Tribolium castaneum: one gene and its partner. The protein of the gene in region 2 interacts with the protein of the main gene of each other region in a pairwise test. Links are inferred from orthologs where the notes say so. Each region holds a gene or a part of one and is shown on either strand. Other genes may lie near its edges.

Evidence for each region.
Region 1: the proteins of Deaf1 (region 2) and transcription factor Clamp interact in a two-hybrid assay, tested with the Drosophila melanogaster proteins (2 studies listed by BioGRID). The link is inferred for Tribolium castaneum from reciprocal best matches to the Drosophila melanogaster genes Deaf1 and Clamp.

What each region holds. Positions count from the first base shown.
Region 1 is NC_087401.1:13,233,167-13,237,181, forward strand, and holds the start of transcription factor Clamp, read left to right. Parts: upstream 1-1,154; 5' UTR 1,155-1,421; intron 1,422-4,015. UniProt on the Drosophila melanogaster protein: Transcription factor involved in X-chromosome dosage compensation in males, the process by which transcription of the single X chromosome in the male is elevated. Binds to the DNA sequence (GA)n.
Region 2 is NC_087394.1:24,926,970-24,931,137, reverse strand, and holds the start of Deaf1 (deformed epidermal autoregulatory factor 1), read left to right. Parts: upstream 1-1,354; 5' UTR 1,355-1,754; coding exon 1,755-2,358; intron 2,359-4,168. UniProt on the Drosophila melanogaster protein: Transcription factor that binds the homeotic Deformed (Dfd) response element. High affinity binding sites contain at least 1 TTCG motif surrounded by additional TCG sequences.

The DNA of each region.
Region 1 (4,015 bases), on a different chromosome or scaffold from region 2:
TTTATATTTATATTTATATTTATATTTATATTTATATTTATATTTATATTTATATTTATATTTATATTTATATTTATATTTATATTTATATTTATAATTATAATTATATTTATTTACTTATATATTTATGTCCAAACCAAGATATTTTTTCGAAGTCCTTTCTCTCAAATAATGAGTCTTTAAGCATGATAACTATTTACGATGTATTACATTATCCAGGATTTTATTTATGCGAATTTTTTTACTCACTGGTCAGCTATAGTTTAATTTGCAGACCCACTTTTAGCACATTAATTTGGAAATAAAAGTTGTTATGTATAATTTTTTAACATGATTTTAAATTTTGACTTAAATTTTATCACAGCCTGTGCCAGATTATAATTTTTTGAACAATTGCTAAAATAAACTGCCTTTTGCAATCCTAAGAAAAAAAACCTTAAAAATTTGTTGGCGTTGCTCTTTTATGGTTTTATTATTGTTTTTGCTTCCACAATATATTTTTTTTAGTTTTATATGTTTTATAAATAATTATTGGACTTAACACTGTGTCACTCTAAAATTACGCTCAACTGTATCTGTAATTTTTGTAAATAATATCGTTTGCAAGACTTTATCCTTTGTTTGAAACTATTTATTTTCTGAGTTACGCTGTTGTCGCTATAAGGTTTAGAATTATCAATAAATTTTACTGAAAAAAATTCTTATTATGGTTAAGTAATTTAAAAACAGTAATCGATTTGTTGAAATAGAGACGTAACCATGGTTACAAAAAAACAAGTGTCATCGGAACAATAGACAATCATTGTTGCTAATTCGATAAAAATAAATATTATTATTTATTACGTCACGCATCATACGACATGAAAATGACGGCATCGTTCACTAATAACAATAAATGACGTGGCACTTCCTTATTTGCAAAAATCACCCGATTTGAGTGATTTTTCCCCCGAATGATAATACGTCAATGACGCAAAATTTATTAATAGCCCGAAAATCGGTGCGAATTTCGATCGATTGCAGCAATTGCTATTTATAGCGCAATTATGCAACAAAAATAATAACTCAGATAAGATGACCGATGACATAATATCGATAAATCGTCGTCATTGTTTCGATGTTCGTGCCATTTCATCGAATTTCCGCCGCATGCGTATGTCATTCGGTGTCGCGTCCGAGCGAGGGGAACAAAGATGGCTATGGCTCTATCCGCCATTTTCTAAAGTGAGATAGACTAAAGTGTTTTTCGTGAAAATAGCATGTTTGAGGCGGAAAAGCGCAATATTTCCGTGGAAAAGTGTTAAAATCCGGTCGAAGAACATAGTTTTGGGGCTGTGGCGATGCGTCGCATTGAAAATTAGTGTTTTTTCCGGTGTTGAAAATCGGCGTCTCTGTGGAAACAGCGCCGTGTGAGAGTAAAGGTAAATGGTTTTCTTTGTTACTTCTACACTTATTTCATTTCAACTTTATCAGCGTCTTTGTTGTAAAAAGAGATAAATTTGAGCGAGATGTGAGAGTTTTGAAATGCGACTGATTGACGGCGCTCTATGGCTAAATAGACATGTGGGGGGCGCATGCCGCGCCCAAGGGAACGGTTTGGGGGGTTTACCGGCATGGGGGGGTTCGGTTTTGCCGGTGTGGGCACTTTTCTGCACGAATTTAGGGGGTTTTGGTAGCGATGCCGGTATAGAATTTTGATTAATTTCAATTAATTTAATTAATCGAAACGTCGTTTTTTTGATTTATTGTAGTTATTTAGTCAGTCCAGTGCTAAAAAAACGGCCGGTGGGGGAGCTACGGGTCCGCGCTCCGAAGAAATCTACATATTTTGGTTTGAAACTTTGCTAAATTTTGTTTTTTCTTTAGTCTTTTTCACACCAAGAAATATTTTATACGCATAATAATAGTTATTTATTTTTTAATATAAAAATTTACTTGTGGATTATACAGGGTGTAACGAAAAGATGGGGATAATAGCTCAAAATTCAAAAATTATTTTCGATTTTCTTTAACAATTCTTAATGGAATTATGGTTTTAGATAAAATTTGGTATAAGTAATTTGCTATCAATACCAAAAAAAAAACAAAAAAGTCATTTTTTCACAAAGTTGTGAATTCTTAAAAGTCGTTCGATTTTTACCAAACACAAGTAATTAAAATAATGATTAAATAATCAAAAGAATTTTTAACGCTTCTACTATATATTTTTTATACGAAAAATAAGGCCGATATAAAAATTAATTATTTAAAATTAATGGGTCTTCGAATAAAAAATAATAATTACAATTACAACAATAATTTACAAACTACAGGGTGTTTCAAGTTTTATGGCAGAGGCAATAATAAATATTTCTAGTCTAGTAAAAAATTATTTTTCTAGTAAAAAAATATGTTTATAGTCTAAACGATAGGGTATCTTGGTTACGCTACTATTTTATACTTTGATTATGTTCAAAATTTTTAAGGTATTGCTGTAAACAAGTTTAAAAGAATATTTTTTCAGTTATTGGCGTATTTTCTGTATGATAATATTCCTTTAATTTTTATAACCGTAATTTTATCCGTACATTTTAATATTGGAAATTGGAAATTCTGACCTGATCACCAATTGCTACAAAGCCTGCCCATAAATTTTTCTACAGTCTGTTCCATCTAAACCCACATTAGAAATATTGAAAGTTTTAAAAGAGATATTTATTTGAAAGTTGGTACTCAGCTATAATCCGTTGAGTTCTGCTCAATGAAAATATTTTCAAGATGGTGGCACTTCCGGTTATACCGGAAGTCGCTATCAACTTTCTTATTTTAAATGGAAAGCTATGTTTTTCACTGCGTTTTTGGATTTGCTGAGTTATTTTAAGGCCGTTTTTATCAGCTTTCCCTATACCTAAGTTTAACCGTTTTCGAGATATTTAAGATTTTTGAAAAGTTTTGGATTTGCACCTGTCACTTAAAAAATCGGCAACTCTCTTAATTTTAGAGATTTCGAAATCATATTTGGAGAATTTAAAGAGAAAGCCCAAATCTGTTCTTCAGTGTGTTCAAAATTGGTAAAGAAGTTAATAAACCCAAAACTTCAAGTACCCATAACATAATTTTTTCAAATGGGATGCCCCAATTTTTATTTTACTAGATGGAGGAGAATTTTTTTCTGCATCGATCTGTATTAGCATTCCCTATACCTATGTGTGATAATTTTCAAGTTATGTCTGTTTTTTTGACATTGTAGAAATTTTCTTACTAACCACAGCTATTTTTGCATAGTTGACCGTAAAAATATTTCTGATTAAACAAACGACAAACTCTGTTCAAAATTGTGTTGTCCGTCCTGTAAGAACAAAATAAATTCATTGAATGTTGGTTTAAAAAACTTTAATTTCTCACATTTTTTCTCTCGTTTCCATGGCTACCTACGAGAAAAAGCCTACTGCTAATGAATTTCTCAATCCCAACAAAAAGTTATCGCAAGTTGAAAACTATTAAACATAAGTATAGGGAATGCTAATACAGATCGATGCAGAATTAAATTCTCTACGATTTAATGAAATAAAACGTGTGGCATTTCATTTGAAAAAATTGAGTTATGGGTGCTTAAAGTTCTGAAAACATAACTTTAAATATTTGGGGTTTGTTATTCTTTTTTAGAAATTTGAAAACGCCAAAGGAAAGATCTAGGCTTCCCCTTCCAAATGAGCTAAAAAATATTTCCAAATTTTTAAAAATGGCGAAGTTATCGATTTTTGAACTGGAAGGTGCAAATCCAAAAAAAAATTAAAAACCCGAAATATTTCGTAAACGGCTAAATTTAGGTATAGGGAAAGCTTATGAAAACTACCTTAAAATAACTCTAGTAATCCAAAAACGCATTAAAAAATATAGCTTTCCATTTAAAATAAGGAAGTTGATAGCGACTTCCGGTATAACCGGAAGTGCCACCATCTTGAAAATATTTTCATAGTGCAGGACCGAAGCGATTATGGTCGTGTACAAATTTTCAGATGACTATCATTAGTAG
Region 2 (4,168 bases):
AATTTGTGAGTAAAGAAATCGTTTCTAAAGCTCTTAAGACTTAAGACTATGGTGATAAAATTTTTTATACTTTGTAGGAGTATCCCAAACAATTTTTTCATTAATGATTTGTCCAGGCAATATTACAATGTTATCGATAAAATAGCTAATAATACCTAACATTTTTTGTTGAAAAGAGAATTAATATTTTATTGAGGTAAACAATGGGTTCGTATTTTTTAAAAAAAATTTAAAGTTTTCGTTCAATTCGTAGAGGTGAAGAAGTTTAAATACGTATTTATTTAACTACATATACAGGGTGACCCAGGGGTGGCCGGTGTTACCGGTCTATAATTTTTTTGCTATTTAAAATATAGTCATACCGTTTTTATTACATAAACTAAAAATATTTTTATTATACACTAGGTGTGGTGAACAAAAGATATATTATTTTTAGTAGAACACCCTAAATATTTTTGCATAATTAAATTCTACACAAAAAATAATGTAACTTTGTATAAATTATTATAGGTCTATCTGTTTTCGTTTCGAAACTATTCAACTTTTCGTTATAAAAAAGACCAATTTTTGAAAAATCACTACAAAGTCGCCAATGAATATTTTCTGAAAATTTACCACAGAAAAACTCAGAATACCTTGCAGTTTTACCTAAATAGTCGACTTTTACTTCACAAATGTTAAAAAAATTAAACAATTTTTTTTTTCAAATGGAACACCATGTATTTTTTAGACATATCGATAGCATTTTGCATAAGGTTTCTAATGGTATACGGTTTGCATAGCAAATTTAAGACATTTTTCGAGATTTAAAAAAAAAAAACATTTTAGTACAAGAAAATTTGTTATCTTAAAAGTCAAATGGTAATTTATTTTTTGATATATACTAATGTGATTAATTACATTAGTATTTTAATTATTACTTGATACATAAATTCACTTTGCTCATCAAAAATTAATAATAAAATAAATAAAAAAGAACATTTTTTTAACACTTTAAGAAATATTCAAATTTGCTATACAAACCGCATATCATTAGAAAGCTTATGAAAAATGCTATCGATGCGTGTAAAGAAATATATGGTGTTTCATTTGAAAAAAATGAGTTATTCAACTTTTTGTGTTTTGGCACACCCTGTACATTACCTGCGTGTTTCAAGTAAAAATCGACTACTGCTATAACTACGGGATATTCTGAGTTTTTCTGTTACAAATTTATCGAAAAATATTCATACGCGACTTCGCAGTGATTTTTGAAAAATTGGCATTTTTTATAAATTTTTTAATAAAAGAACCACAATTCTGAATCTTATTGTTTTCATTTATTCATTGTTATTATTACTTATTAGATATTTATCTAAAAATTACGTAATTTTTGCACCTTTCACTTTACATATCCACCACCAATCACCATCAAGGATAAACAGTAACAAATTTGCAGCTTGAATCTGAATTTCTTTGTTTTTGAAGCTGATTTTGATTGAATTCTTTCACGGAATGTCGTAAAATGGGTTAATTGTCTTAATTAAAATTCGCTTACATTGTGAAAAACGGAGCGTAAAATTCAAAAATGGCGCGGCGCATGCGCGGCCCCTTGCACGCCGCCTGCATATCGGCAAGTGTAGTAACCAACCGTGCATCCGTCATCGTCATCACCCCAAGTGGCGTCATGTAAATCCGTTAAACTCCTCCACCTCTTCGAGACCGCTTCCTCCGAAAAACCCTTGGTAAACGTCGTCGTGTCCGCGTTTTCGTCCATGGAGAACTCAAACTCGGAAGGCGTCGTCCTACCGGACATTTCCGAAGCCGAACAGCTCGCGAGCGAGCACGATGGCGGCGAGAATGGCGACTCCTCCGTGGACGTGAAGCAGGCGCGCGTCTCCGCCGTCTCGGTGCGCCATGCGGGCGTCCCGGTGTCCCTGCCGGTGGGCTCGCTCATCACCAGCACCTTCAACGTCATCACCCAGGACCAGCTGCCCCACTTCAAGCCGATGCTGTGCGTCGACAACAACGGCTACATCGCCACCGACGGCTCGGGGGCCGAGCTCAAGACCATCGTCATCCAGGGCGACGTCTCGGAGGCGGGGGCCGTCTCCACGCCGGTGACGGTGTCCGGGCCCAACCTGGGCTCGTGGAACGAGGCGGCGAGTCTGCCGGTGCTGCCGGTCAGGTGCAAGAACACCTCGGCGGAGCTGCACAAGAACAGGTTCGGCTCGGGGGGCAGAGGCCGCTGCATCAAGTTGGGCTCCAGTTGGTACACGCCGAGCGAGTTCGAGGCGCTCTGCGGAAGGGCCTCCAGTAAGGACTGGAAGAGGAGTATTAGGTTCGGCGGGAGGAGTCTGCAAACGTTGATTGATGAAGGTATGAGGGGGCTCCAGAGGGACCCTTTAAAACACAGAATTGTGTAACATTTCAAATGGCAACGTTGCTCCATTCAAGTTTGAGATCATGTTTGCTTCCGGGTGAAAGTACCTAGTGGAAGAAAGAGGGATTTTCGAGTTATGTAGCACTGAAAAGGGGAAACTTACCCATAACACAAGACAAGTTGTGGTATTATCACACTGATTTCACGTCAAAATAACCATAACATAGATAATAATAATAATTAGAATTTACGCTAAATAACGTTAATTGATTTTTCCTTCAAATTATGTTTTTTCTGAAAAACAAAACATTTTTTTTTAATGAATTATTTGGAAATGCTAGTATTACCTAATTTGAATAAAAAATAAAAGAGCCTCTCAAAGTCCGAAGTGGTCAAAATATAGTTTATGGTGTGCACGTGTGTAACATTGGTTGTATATCATTTCATATGATTCTTTTAGGCCCTACATTAGAAACTTTATAACTTCTAATGTAGCTAGAAATTTGAAATTTTGTATATTATTCCAGTCAATTTCAGTTCAACTAAATTATTTTCCAAATAACTGAATTTCCAGAACTACGAGAAATTGGCGGAAACTTTGAAATGTTAGTTGGTAACCACCTATTTTTACTCTACAGGGTGCTCAAAAAGTGGCGCACCAACTCAGTGGTACGTTATTGAGAAGCAAGTGCAGATTACGGGAAAAATGTTGAAAAAATTCCTAGTCATATTTTAAAAAATCTGGAGCTGCAAACTTATTGTGTTAACTTCTTTAGTTTTCATTATTTTTTATGTTTTTATGTTTCATACCAGGTAATCGTTCCGTAACAAAACGATGAATAATTATTTTTAAATGTACTTTCAGACTTTAACAGTTTTTTTAATTTAAAAAAATTAAAATTTAGCCAAAAAATCACAATGTGTAGATGTGCCAACACTGGGAATTATTTCCTAGGAAACCGTTTCAAAAATGATTTATTTTTATTGTTGCTCAAATTCTATTCGGAAGTAAAATTACCGTTGGGGGCGCCACTGAGCTAAGTCGAAAACAGTAACCATAAATGGCGGGAAAATGTTTATTCGGATATTTTGAGCGTTGTACGAATTTTGGGGCTTCACAATTATTGCATTGCCTATGCGGAATGATTATTGTATCTTTGATGCAAAAAACTTCTGTTGACAAATGAGAGATGACGAGGAAAACACGAATAACGAATGACTGTTTGGTTCACTTTCTTTATTGGAAAATTACTACAAAGACATTGAAAAGCCTACCTTTTGGCATAATTTACGTTTAAATGTATCAGCAGTTGTTAATCTTTATTGTAGTTTTGTAGATTTACCGCAGCATTTCATGATTTTTTCAGTGGAAAATTCTAACCTAAAATTCACACACTTCACTAATTTATTGGTTTCTTGAGCCAAACTTTGTGTTCGCTGTGATCCATTACTTATAATCTTTAATTAGACAACTGTTTGATAACACTTTGTAATCAAAATTTAAATATTTTTCACTTTTTATCCACTTTCAAGTTCCAACAATAAACACTTTATACCACGAAAAACGACAGAACCAAAGTCAAAGCTAGTTTTTACCACCACGTACTTTTAAAGTGATTCTTTCTATTGTAAGTAATTAACACTATACACGCAAAATTGTTGAACAATTCATTAAATGTCAGTTAAATGTGGAATTTTTACTGTTTTCGACATAGTTCAAAAGTCAACACCAGAGGGCGTCTAGTTAATTTTATTTCTGAATTGCGATCATGACTGTTAGACAACGTTGCCACATATCATTTATCT